Macaca mulatta: one gene and its partners. The protein of the gene in region 1 interacts with the protein of each later gene in a pairwise test. Links are inferred from orthologs where the notes say so. Each region holds a gene or a part of one and is shown on either strand. Other genes may lie near its edges.

Region 1 (3,740 bases):
GCAGTGGCACGATCATGGCTTACGGCAGCCTTAAACTTCTGGGCTCAGCCAGGTGAGGTGGCTAATGCCTATAATCCCAGCACTTTGGGAGGCTAAGGCAGGTGGATCACCTGAGGTCAGGAGTTCAAGACCAGCCTGGCCAACATGGCGAAAACCCACCTCTGCTAAAAATACAAAAATTAACTGGGCATGGTGGCAGGCGCCTGTAATCCCAGCTACTCAGGAGGCTGAGGCAGGAGAATTGCTTGAACCAAGAAAGTGAAGGCTGCAGTAAGCTAAGATCATGTCATTACACTCCATCCTGGGTTACAACAGCAAAACTCTATCTCAAAAAAACAAAACAAAACAAAAAAAACCTACTCTGGGCTCAAGCAAGCCACCTGCCTCAGCCTCCTGAGTAGTTGGGACTACAGCCACATGCCACCATGCCCAGCTAGGTTTTTCTGTTTTTTGTAGAGATGGGGTTCTCACTATGTTGTCCAGGCTGGTCTTGAACTCCTGGTGATCCTCTGGCCTCAGCCTTCTAAAGTGCTGGGATTACAGGCGTGAACCACTGTGCCCAGCCTTGTCTGAAATTTGACCTGGACATTCTCAGCCTAGGCCCAGGGAGAGAATAGGAGGCCCCAGGCCCATGGGGCTTGCTGAGGACACCAGTGGGGGCAGTGGTTGCTCCAGCCCAGTCAGCCTGACTCTAGTAAGCATAACTCTTGAGATCTCCCACACAGGTCCACAGGTGTAGACACCTGCATGCTGCTTTGCCACTCACAAAGTCCATGCCCACCACCATCTCATCAGATCTCACAAAAGGCAGGCAGGACAGAGTATCATCCCCATTTTACAGATGAGCACAAGGAGGCAGGAATAGAGCAGGCTTATGCCCGAGGTCACTCAGTTATCAGGACCCAGGTCCCCTGCCTCCCAGGCCAGAGCTCTTCTGTCTCCCTAAAAATACTGCCCTGGTGATGAAGGGGATGATCAGCTTTTAAGGGCAGGGGGACAGGAGATGCACTAGAGCCTGGCTCTTCTCCCCAGCTGCCAGCCCTGTGATTGGAAGGCACCCAGAAGCCTTTCCAATGCCCCATGCCAACCATTCAACTCTTCTGTCCCCCACCCCCAACATGCCCACTATCCAGGAGGACCCCGGCCAGGTCCCACAGCTGTGAGTCAGGATCAGAACAGACCCCTCCCCCACCTTCTAGAAGCTGACAGGAGACTTAAGGGGAGAAATTCAACTCCCTCAACCCTCACCCTCTGCTACCGGGCACCAACCCCAAGCTCTGCTCTCCCCCATGGGACCTGGAAGTCAGAGAAGTCTAGGGAAGGGGGCTGGGGAGCAGGATCCCGCAGCTGCTCTGGGGACAGGAGAGGAACAGTTCATTCACCCTGGGTCCCCCAGGGCAGAGGCAGCCTGTCCAAGATTTGAGTTTAAAAATAAGTTGGGGCTGTCTTGGTGGCTGTGTGTGTCCACGGGGTTCTTCTTGATCTCGAACTTACTGTCTCAGGGCCTCTGCCCCATGGGGGATTGGTGGGCTCAGAGTTTCTGTTTCCCCAGAGCCTCACTTCCCAATGGTTCAGGTCTGGGTAAGTCAGGGGCTGTCCTGGAAGCTGTCAGCCCACCTAGGTCTCTCTGCCCCCACTAAGTCTCAGTCTCCGGTGTCTGTCTCTGCTTCACTCAGCATCTCTGTGTCTGGACACAGCTTCTGTCTTTAGCTTTTGGACGACTCTGTACCTTGACTGGCTGTCCCCCGGCGGCCCATGCCTCTGTGGATCTCAAGTCTTGGTCTCTTCTTGTCTACATGGCTGAATGTCTCAATCCCCACCACATCCCTTTCTCTGTCTCTATATCCAAGTCTCTTTCGCCACCTCTGCATGCCTGAGTGTCTCTGTCTCTAGTCTCTGAGTGTCTCTGCAGGCCTCAGAGAGCAGATTCAGCCTGAGGCCAATGACGCCCAAGCCTCAGGGCACCTCCAAGGCCTGGGGAAGGGCCCCAGGGAATGTGTTCGCTGGGGTCCCACGTATGTTTTCTGAAAATGCTCCAGAAAGCCTGGGACGGCCCCCATGTCTCGGGTCTGTCCACCGGTAACACTGTACGCCCGGTGTGTCCTTGTTTCAATGGTCTCGGTAGCCTCCTCCTGTGCCTCGAGTCCCTGCCTGTCTTGGTCTCTCGCTCCACTGGGCTCTGCGAGAACCTCAGTTTCTCCAGCGCTTCTGGTCGGTCTGTCTCTATCCGGCTTTTCTATTTCAAACTTAGCCCCCTCCCCCGCCCAACTCTCGCTGCCACCCCCGCCCCCGCCCCGCCCCGCCCGGCAGCCCGGAGGGGTCTAGTCCGGGCGGGCGCTCTCCCGGGCTCGGCGTGCCCCGGGCACCTGTGGCCAGAGCCTGGCGGGTACAGGGGGCCGGGGCCGCGGCTGGCCTCAGCCCTCCGCGGGTCCTTTCGCTCCCCGGCCTGGGCGCGGGGGCGGACTGCCGGGGCTGGGAGCCGGGGTCGGCGGGGCGCTCACCTCGAAGCGGGCGGCGGGAGCGGGGAGCGCGCGGCGCGGGCGGGGCGGGGAACCGGGCGCCGCGTCCCTCGGCGGCTCCTACCTGCGGGCCGGGCCAAGCGGGGGCCGAGCGAGCTGCCGGCTAGGCTGCCGACTGCAGACGGACCGTGTGGGCGAGTGGGAGCGCGGCCCCAACCCCTCCCCGAGGAAGTGAGCGCGGGCCCGCCCCGCCCGGACCCCGCCCCCGGCCCCCCAGCCCGCTGCGGGGGCCAGACCCCGCCCCCACCTCCCTTTCGGCCGCCAGCGGGCCCGGCCCCCTCCTCCTGCCCGGCCTAACCTGGCTCTCCCAACCTTCAGGCGGCCGGGACCCCGCCCCTGTCCCCTCCCCGCAGCCTCTGCTCTCCTCCCCTCCCACCCCCCCCCCCCCCCCCCCCCCCCGTCCCCAGCTGCCAGAGGGAGACTGTTGTATTCTATCTCAGGCCGGGGACATCAGACCCCACAGACCATGGTCCACTGGGGAAGAGTCCTGTGGCCTCCTCGGATTTCCCCACCCCCTCACCTTACCCTTAGGGGTGACACTCAACCTGGCCTTAATCCAGCCTGGAGGAGGAGGTTTTGACTCTACTGTCATGAGCCTGTCAGCGGGCACCAATGTGTTCTCTGAAAACATGGGGCGAAGAGAGGACCCCTCCCCACCACAGGGCCTTGACCTCCAAAGGGTTTTACTCCACAACTTTGAGTAGCAAAAACAGGGGTAACCACCTCCCCACCTCCAGTGGCCTCCTGACGCTGAGAAGTCCTGTCTTGCCTGGGTTTCCGCAGTGCCCAGGAATAGTTTTGACCTTTGAGGCCCAGGAGAGACCCTAATCCTTGGCCCCATGATCTTTGGGCTTCTAGGGTGGGGTGTGAGGAGTGTGAGAGGATGGGGCACTGCAGGGGTGGTGGAGGAGAGGGGAGGGGACCTCTGCAGTGTCTAAACCTCTGGCTTCCTCCCTGTGTCCGTGAGGGAGGACTGGCGCCTGCTAGGGACACGAGGCCCCTCCAGGTCCTTGAGGCCACCCCCCCTGGGATCCTCAGGCTTGTCACTAGGAATAAATAGCCTCGGTCTGGAAGGGGTGGGGGAGGGAGGGAGGCAGGAGGCTCTACTGTGCTGTTAGTGGAAACAAGAGACAACAAAGCAACCCTGGAATAACCTTAGCGTCTAGAGTGAAGATTCAGGTGCCCACAGAGGCCTCCCCACACCCCAGGCTGGGTGCAGCG
Region 2 (3,740 bases), on another chromosome or scaffold:
AAGCGGTAGGCAGCCCGCCACGGAGGGAAAAATAGGCAGGCCAGCCCCGCCCGGCGCCGCGCCCCGCCAAGACCCGGCCGCAGGGCGGCGCGGGCACCCTGCGCGCCCCGGGCGCCCGCTGCACTCGGCGGCGCCGCGAAGGGCGCCTACGACCGCGCGCGGCCGCGCCCTCCCTGCGAGCGGCTCTGCGCGCCCAGCTCCCGGCCTCCCGGTGGCGCCGCACCGAACCGCCCGTCTCGCCGTCAGGGCTGTGATTATTTTCTAAAATCCGGAGTCGAGACCGCGCGGCCGCTCTCGGGGCCCCGCCCCGCGCCCCTTCCCGGGGCGGGGGAGAGGCCACAGCGCACTCGGGAGCGGGCGAGGGAATCCCTCTCCCTCCACGTCACCCGAAAGCGAGGAAACCCGCACTCGCGTCCTCTAACGCAAATGACCATCTTTGGCAACGTGCGCCAATGGAACAGACCAAGGGCGCTGGGCCCGGGGGGTGAGCGGGGGGCGGGGGAGGGCCGGGGCTGCCTCGGCGCCCCCCAACCGTGCGGGCCGCCCGCTCCCGCCCGGGCCACCGCCTGGCTTCCTCGCGCGGGGTGCGCGGCTGGCGTCAGCGCGGCCGGGAGCCGGGGCTGGGAGGGAAGAGCTGCGCCCGCCTCCTCCCCTCCTGCGCCTCTTCCTCCTCCGCGGCCTCCTCCCCCCCCGCCTCCTCGTGCGCTCCTCCCTGCAAGGTGGAGTCTGGGGTTGACGTGAGTGAATCCACATGGTACAGGGCTGGAGAATAAAGAGTGTGAGTTGAACTCGTGCCATTGTAGTGACTCATCTCGGGCAGAGCGCTAGGGCTTCGAGCGAACCAGCGAGCGAGCGAACGAGCGGCGCTCGGCGGGGACAGAAAGAGGGAGAGGGAGAGGCGCGGTCGGGCGAGGCGGGCCCGTCCGGGAGCGGGCGCCGGGGAAGGGGTGCAGGTCCGGGCGCCGGAGCGGGGAGCAGGGCCGCGTCCCTCTCAGCGCCAGCTCAGCTTGAGCCCCACGAGCCGCTGTCCCCCTGGCGCGCTCGGGGCCGCGGGACGGGCGCACGCCGCCTTCTCCCAGTCAAGTATCCGAGCCGCCCCGAAACTCCGGCGGCGAGTCGGCCACGGGAAGTTTATTCTCCGGCTCCTTTTCTGAAAGGAAGAAACAGAAGTTTCTCCCAGCGGACAGCTTTTCTTTCCGCCTTTTTGGCCCTGTCTGAAATCGGAGGGTCCCGGGGGCTGGCAGGCCAGGCTCTCTGGGCTCCTAGTCTTTTTAATTTCCAGTTTTTGATTGGGCCGTGGGTCCCGGCTGAGCTCCGGCTGCGCGCGGGGGCGGGAGGGCGCGCGCAGGGGAGGGACCGAGAGACGCGCCGACTTTTTAGAGGGAGGGACCGGGTGGACAACTGGTCCCGCGGCGTTCTCAGAGCCGGAAAGAAGTGCCGTAAGAGGCGCTCGGGGGACGCTGTTCCCGAGGTGTCGCCGCCTCCTTGTCCTCGCCCGCCGCGGTTGGGGAGAAACCCAGGAGCGAAACCCAGAGCCCGCGGCGCGGCCGGCGGACGAACGAGCGCGCAGCAGCCGGTGCGCGGCCGCGGCGAGGGCGGGGGAAGAAAAACACCCTGTTTCCCCTCCGGCCCCTACCGCGGATCATGTACCAGGATTATCCCGGGAACTTTGACACCTCGTCCCGGGGCAGCAGCGGCTCTCCTGCGCACGCCGAGTCGTACTCCAGCGGCGGCGGCGGCCAGCAGGTAGGTGCGGGCCCCGGTGCACCTGGCGGCGCGGGCGGACCCCTGCCCTCCTCTCGCCGCCACTGCCTCTTTTGCTTTCTTTTCCTTTTCTTAGCGAAAAAATACCTACGGGCCACCGTTGTTAAGTTCTGGATTTTCGTCCTCTCCTCCCCCACCACCCCCTTTTACATCAGGGGATTGGGGAGTGGGCTTGAAAAGACAACATGCCCTTTTCCTCCCACATTATATTTTACCCAGATAAACTCCTGGAATTGTAGGCCCCCTACCAGGAAGAGCCTGTTACCTCCTCCCATGAACTACTCCCCCTCCCCAGTGCCCGCCCCTCCTCGCCCCCCGCCCCGAGTCTTCTTTCTGGATGGTGGACAGACAAGAAAATCTTTGCACCCACTGGCACCTTTCGACATCCTGGGACCCTATTCTTTCAGGAAAGCCCTCTCTCTCTCCCCTCCTCGTTCTCCATCAGTCTTAGCTCCTTTCTGAAAGGGGTTGGGGATCCAGAAACATGGTTGGACTCCTTCAAGTAATCTGGAGCGAGGGCGAGGGCTGCCGCTCTGGGAATCAGGTGCGAAGGTCAGGAAGGAAGAAGCCAGCCTTGATTGGCTCATGCCGCCTGTGTGCCCAGTGCATGCCCGCCTGCCCGCCCGTCTTCTGTAAGGGTCGAGGACAGGAGGCTGCACTGCCCCGCAGGAACGAAGGAGCACCGTGAGGGTCTGGGGGTACCTGGAGCAAGGAGGCCGGCAGAGAGAAGAGGGGGTCGGGTGGGGGAAGAGACATCACACAGGCTCCTGGGTGGTTCTGGAAGCAGAAAACAACTTGTTTCTAAAGCAGCCGGACTGGTTTGCGGTGGAGGGATTGTGCGTGTGATCTCTGTGTTTATAAATACCAGGAAGGTACTGTTGTTGCGGGGCGGGGGGGGGGGGGTGCTGATGGCGTGCCTGCCCTCTGCTGCGGCTCCCCACCCGCTCTGTCTCAAGAGAGAGCTGGGTTAACGCAGGCCCAATACAACATGAAGCCCACGGTGGTCAGCATCTGTGGAGTCTAGCACAGTTGGCTGCAGCAAGGGATGCTCCATAAGGCGGTGGCCTTGGCCTCTAGAAGGGGCTGGGGTGGGCTTCCAGGGAGGGGTAGATTCAGCTGGAAAGTCTTATGGAACATGGCTCTCTTTTGGATCTGATGAGGGATCCCTTGTTCCAAAGTGATTCCCTATACCTGATGAGTCCCCAAAATGGCTTTTCTGCCTTCCCTCTGCCTCCCATGGTGCTCCTATAAGCACCCGCAGTAGAGACAGCCTGGTCTGTTCATTGAGGGTGCAGTCAATGCACCGTTCGTATTGAGCACCAAGGTGATGAGTTTTAAATCCGAAAAGTTACTGGTTATGTTTGCTTCCCAGCCCCGTTGGTGGTTTGTATTGAATGTAAACATCCTGAGGGAATAGGCTGAAGTCTGTACCCTCCGTCTCCCGTTCAACAAACCCCAAACGCCTGTCCTCCTCCCTGGAATCAGGAAGGGATCTTTTGATTTCTTCCCTGTTCTTTTCCCTAATGTGTCTTTGGCAGTTATCGTTGGAGTATTACAATCTCACTGCCTGGCTTAGCATAGACCCTGGGGCCTGCCGGGATGTCAGACCGGACATCATTGCCCCAACTGAATAATCTGTGTCACTAGGGCTTTGAGCCCAGGATGTGAGCGGAGGCAATTCCCGGTTTTGGAAGAAAATCAGACAGGAAACCAGTGCTAGGAAGAAGGAAGAGAACTCAGTCCAGCAGAGTGTAATAGGGCCTCATTACCGAAGCAAAAAGCAGCTGTTGGCTAATTCCTAGCATGCTGTAACACATGAGGATTTTGCAATTAGTAATAACCAGTGCACGGGGTTCTCACATAGACGCCTGCCCATTCGACCTGGCAGTGTGTGAGACGCCTTTCAAACCAGAGGGACTGGCAAGGTAATGCCACTTGAGACGAGGTTCTTGGCCTGTCCGCTCCTTGGTGTGGTC
Region 3 (3,740 bases), on another chromosome or scaffold:
GGGAGGAAGAAGAAAGGAAGGGAGGGAGGGAAGAGAAGGAAGGGAAGGAAGGAAGGAGAAAAGGCAGGAAGGGAGGAAGGGAAGGAAAGCAAGAGAAGGAAGGAAGGGAGGAAGGGAGGGAGGGAACAGAAGAGAAGGAAGGAAGGAAAGAAGAAGGAAGGGAGGGAGGGAGGGAAGGAAAGAAGAAGGAAGGGAGGGAGGGAGGGAAGGAAAGAAGAAGGGAGGGAGGGAAGAGAAGGGAGGGAAGGAAAAAGGAAGGAAGGAGAAAAGGAAGGAAGAGAGGGAAGGGAAGGAAGAGAAGGAAGAGAACGAAGGAAGGAAAGAAAGAAAGAAAAAGAAAGAAGAAAGAAAAAGAGAAAGAAAGACAGACAGACAGACAGACAGACAGACAGACAGGACAGGACAGGACTCTCCTGGGGGAGATTCTTGCGGGTCCTGTGCTAGTCCCGTGTGGGGCCTCCTCCGTCCTCTTTAGGAGAGCTACACCTTTCTCTGCCTCATTCAATTCTCAAGTCCTGTGGTGTCAGTGCCCCGTCGCCTCCAGACCACTCAGCCCACACCGGACCCCAGTGCCCCCTGCAGAAGCCCAGGATATGGGGCAGGGAAGGCCCTGGCACTGGTTCAGAACCACTGCCCCCAGAGCTGGGAAAGGTTGACCCAATGGTCAGTGACCCCAGTGAAGCTCCATGGCCTCAAGCCACCAGGCACCGCCAGGGGCCAGTCGCAAAAGTGGTCTCAGGGCCGGCTGGAAAGAGGCTGAATCCTGCTTTGCCGGTGCACGGCCCCCAGGGCCAGAGGTCAGGGACTCGAGCCCAGAGACCACCCTCGCCGCGCGGGCCAGGATGCGGCGGAATCAGGTCGCCTCAATCCGTGCGCGCCGGACTCCGGGCAGTGCCCAGCGCCCCTATCGGGCCTCAGTTTACCCCACTGTCCAAAAAACTCCCCGCGCCCCAGGACGGCAGAACTGGCTACTCCGGACTGCGGGCCCGGCCGACGGGGGCGGAACCGCGGGGGGGGGACCACAGGCCAGCGCCGGGCCCCCTCCCCGCCCCCTCCCCGCCCCCTCCCCGCCGCGGAGCGGCCGCGGGAATAACGCGAGAGTTCGCCCCCTCCCCCCCGCAGTAAAACTGTCAAAGGTGGGAGGGGCGGGAGCGCGCATGTGCGCAGCGCGGCGCGCAGCCTGCGCCGCCCGGACCCACCGCCCCGCGCCCCGCGCCCCGCGCCCCCCACCCCGGCCCGGCTCGGCCCGGCCGCAGCCCCGCTGGGCGCCGCAGGTAAGCGCCCGGCCGTGCCCCAGCCCCGATCTGGCCGCAGCCCCGGCGCCCACCGCGCCCCGGATCTCGACCCCGCGCGCAGGCCGAGGAGGGGGCCGGGCCCGGAGCCCCCCCGCCCCCCGCCGCGCCCGAGCCCCCGCGCCCCGCGCCGGCGCCGTCTTCCTGCCTCCTCCTTCTCCAGAAAAAGTCGCCATTTTGGTTCACTGCCTTCGCCCCCCCACCCCGCGCCCGCGATCGGCCCTGCCCGGCCAGGCCGAGGCCCGCGCCCCGCGCCCGCGCCCGCTCCCGGCCCCAGGTGACAGGTGGGTGGCGAGGCTGGCCCCAGGTGCGCGTCCCTGGCCGCGCTCACCCGCGCGCCAGCCTGGGCCGGGGTCCCGGGCCGAACGGCCTACGCGGCGGACCCGCTGCTGGCGTCTCCTGCGCGCAGCGCGGCGGAGCCCCCTCTCCCCGCCAGGGCTCCGTGTGCCCGCTGGGCTCGGGAGGGCCGAAGCCCCTTCTCGCCCGGGGCGCCAGTCGCGTCTCTACCTCCCAGGCCGGCCCTGGCCTCAGGTCCCACTACTCTGAATTCTTCTCCCAGGCTTCAGAAAAATTGGGGCCACCGGGGTCGTCAGGTGCTGGGATGACTCATGCGGACCCTGTCTCCTTTCAAAGTTGCAAAGTGAGGACTTCCAGAGAACTTTGTGCCCGGACACTGGCCTCCCCCTTGGCAATGGGCAGTGACTGTCCTGACCTCTGACCTCAGCTCTCTGGCCCTCCTGGACACAGCAGCCCCTTCCCATCCCCTCTGATCTAAGTTAATTAGAAGGTATCAGGAGGGGGCCACCTGCCCACCCAGCCCTCACCCTGCTTCCTGTCCCACCTCTTTCCGTGGCTTTTCCACAGGGCTGAGCCCAGAGTCTCCTCTGCTCCCCAGCTCTCAGGATGGGGTTCCCAGCAGCACAGGACCTCGGGGGGGCCCAGCGTTGGGCAGCAGGGCATTCTCTCTGGCCAGCAGCCTGGGCCTTCACTGCTAGTGCTTCCACTACTTGTTTGGCTGAGGTGGTGGTAATGGGTCTGTGGGCAGGGGACTGAGAGTTCCAGAGAGAGATTGGGGGCGGGTCAGCCTGCCAGGCCCGCAGACAAGTCTGTGAAGAGGGTCAGGGGGGATAGCTCAGCCAGAACAGAGACAGAAGCCTGGTGCAGGGCTGGAGTGGGCTGGGGGTCCTCAGTGCCCACCTTGGCTGTTTTCCATCTGTGTCTGGAGAGAAGATTCCAAGGGTACCTGCCTGGGTAGGTTGGCATTGCATCAGGTCTGCATGGGAGGGTACCAGGGCCCCAGTGAGAAGCTGTGCCCCCACTGCTGGGCCCGGGCAGCTTGTGAGCCAGCAGCCATCATCGGAGACATAATTGTCCCCTGGAGGAATGTTGCCAGCCTCCTTCCTCCTGCACAAGGCACCTCTCCCGGGGGCACACCCCTCCCAGCATCACCTCCAGCATCATCTCTGCAGCTATGGGGCTGTGTGTTGGGAAGGGGATCTGGAAGCTGGTGAGGGTCTCAGGACAGGACTAGATCCTTCCAAACTGATGACGCCTCCTGGGTTATCTGGGGAGACCTTGGCTGGCAGCCCCTCCCCTAAGTCAGAACCCCCCATCACTTGCTTTTCCCACGTGAACAAAACCACAGGAGGGCAGGCCCCTCTTCCCTGACCAGCGAGGACCTGCCAAGGGCGGGGCTCCAGGGCAGCCTCACCACGTGTTCTGAGTGGGGCCCGTCAGGCCTCACAGATTGTCTACTTGCTCCGCAGAGATGACGGATCCTTTCTGCGTTGGAGGCCGTCGGCCCCCGGGGTCCAGCAAGAGTGGTCCCGGGAAGGATGGCAGTCGAAAGGAGGTCCGACTTCCAATGCTGCATGATCCACCGAAGATGGGTAAGAGGAGTCAGGGCCAAAGTCAATTCTGGGCATGGTTCTGGGCAGCAAGGGGTAGGAGTGGGCCACGGCCCCGGGCATCCTGTCTCCAGGTACCCAGCTAGGCCCCTTGAGTTCCCAAGGACCTTACCAGGGGAAGGGTTGCCTTGGACATCGCCCAGGGCCCTGGGTTCTTGTCCTCAGCTGGCCACAGCCCCTGCTCCCGGTGCCCTGGTGTTGGGACAGTGGCGCTCACTGTGGGCCTGTGCAGCCCCCAGTGGTAGACAGTGCTACACAGCTTCCGAGCCTTGCTGTGTTATGTGCTGCAGGGATGCCGGTGGTCCGTGGTGGACAGACAGTGCCTGGCCAAGCCCCTCTCTGCTTTGACCCAGGAAGTCCAGCCAGCGACAAGACAGAAGGGAAGAAAAAGGGGCGGCCAAAAGCCGAGAACCAGGCCCTCCGAGACATTCCTGTGAGCTCCCTCAGGGCCATGGTGGGGCTCATGCTGGGGTCTCCCTGTCCAGCCACTGCCCTGCCCTGATTTGTCCTCTGCACATCTGGTACCAACTCTGTGCCTCAA

Evidence for each region. The genes of interacting proteins can lie anywhere in the genome.
Region 2: the proteins of FHL3 (region 1) and FOSL2 interact in binary tests that used the Homo sapiens proteins (3 or more experiments, as listed by UniProt). The two-hybrid records come from large-scale screens. The link is inferred for Macaca mulatta from reciprocal best matches to the Homo sapiens genes FHL3 and FOSL2.
Region 3: the proteins of FHL3 (region 1) and ZNF512B interact in binary tests that used the Homo sapiens proteins (3 or more experiments, as listed by UniProt). The two-hybrid records come from large-scale screens. The link is inferred for Macaca mulatta from reciprocal best matches to the Homo sapiens genes FHL3 and ZNF512B.

What each region holds. Positions count from the first base shown.
Region 1 is NC_133406.1:202,788,881-202,792,620, reverse strand, and holds the start of FHL3 (four and a half LIM domains protein 3), read right to left. Parts: upstream 2,689-3,740; 5' UTR 2,502-2,688; intron 2,215-2,501; exon of another isoform or gene 1,872-2,214; coding exon of another isoform or gene 1,730-1,871; intron 1-1,729. UniProt on the Homo sapiens protein: Recruited by SOX15 to FOXK1 promoters where it acts as a transcriptional coactivator of FOXK1.
Region 2 is NC_133418.1:96,585,719-96,589,458, reverse strand, and holds the start of FOSL2 (fos-related antigen 2), read left to right. Parts: upstream 1-1,221; 5' UTR 1,222-1,644; coding exon 1,645-1,746; intron 1,747-2,466; exon of another isoform or gene 2,467-2,636; intron 2,637-3,551; exon of another isoform or gene 3,552-3,689; intron 3,690-3,740.
Region 3 is NC_133415.1:116,852,563-116,856,302, reverse strand, and holds the start of ZNF512B (zinc finger protein 512B), read left to right. Parts: upstream 1-1,157; 5' UTR 1,158-1,274; intron 1,275-1,434; exon of another isoform or gene 1,435-1,576; intron 1,577-1,851; exon of another isoform or gene 1,852-1,925; 5' UTR 1,926-2,079; intron 2,080-3,058; 5' UTR 3,059-3,060; coding exon 3,061-3,181; intron 3,182-3,489; coding exon 3,490-3,632; intron 3,633-3,740. UniProt on the Homo sapiens protein: Involved in transcriptional regulation by repressing gene expression. Associates with the nucleosome remodeling and histone deacetylase (NuRD) complex, which promotes transcriptional repression by histone deacetylation and nucleosome remodeling.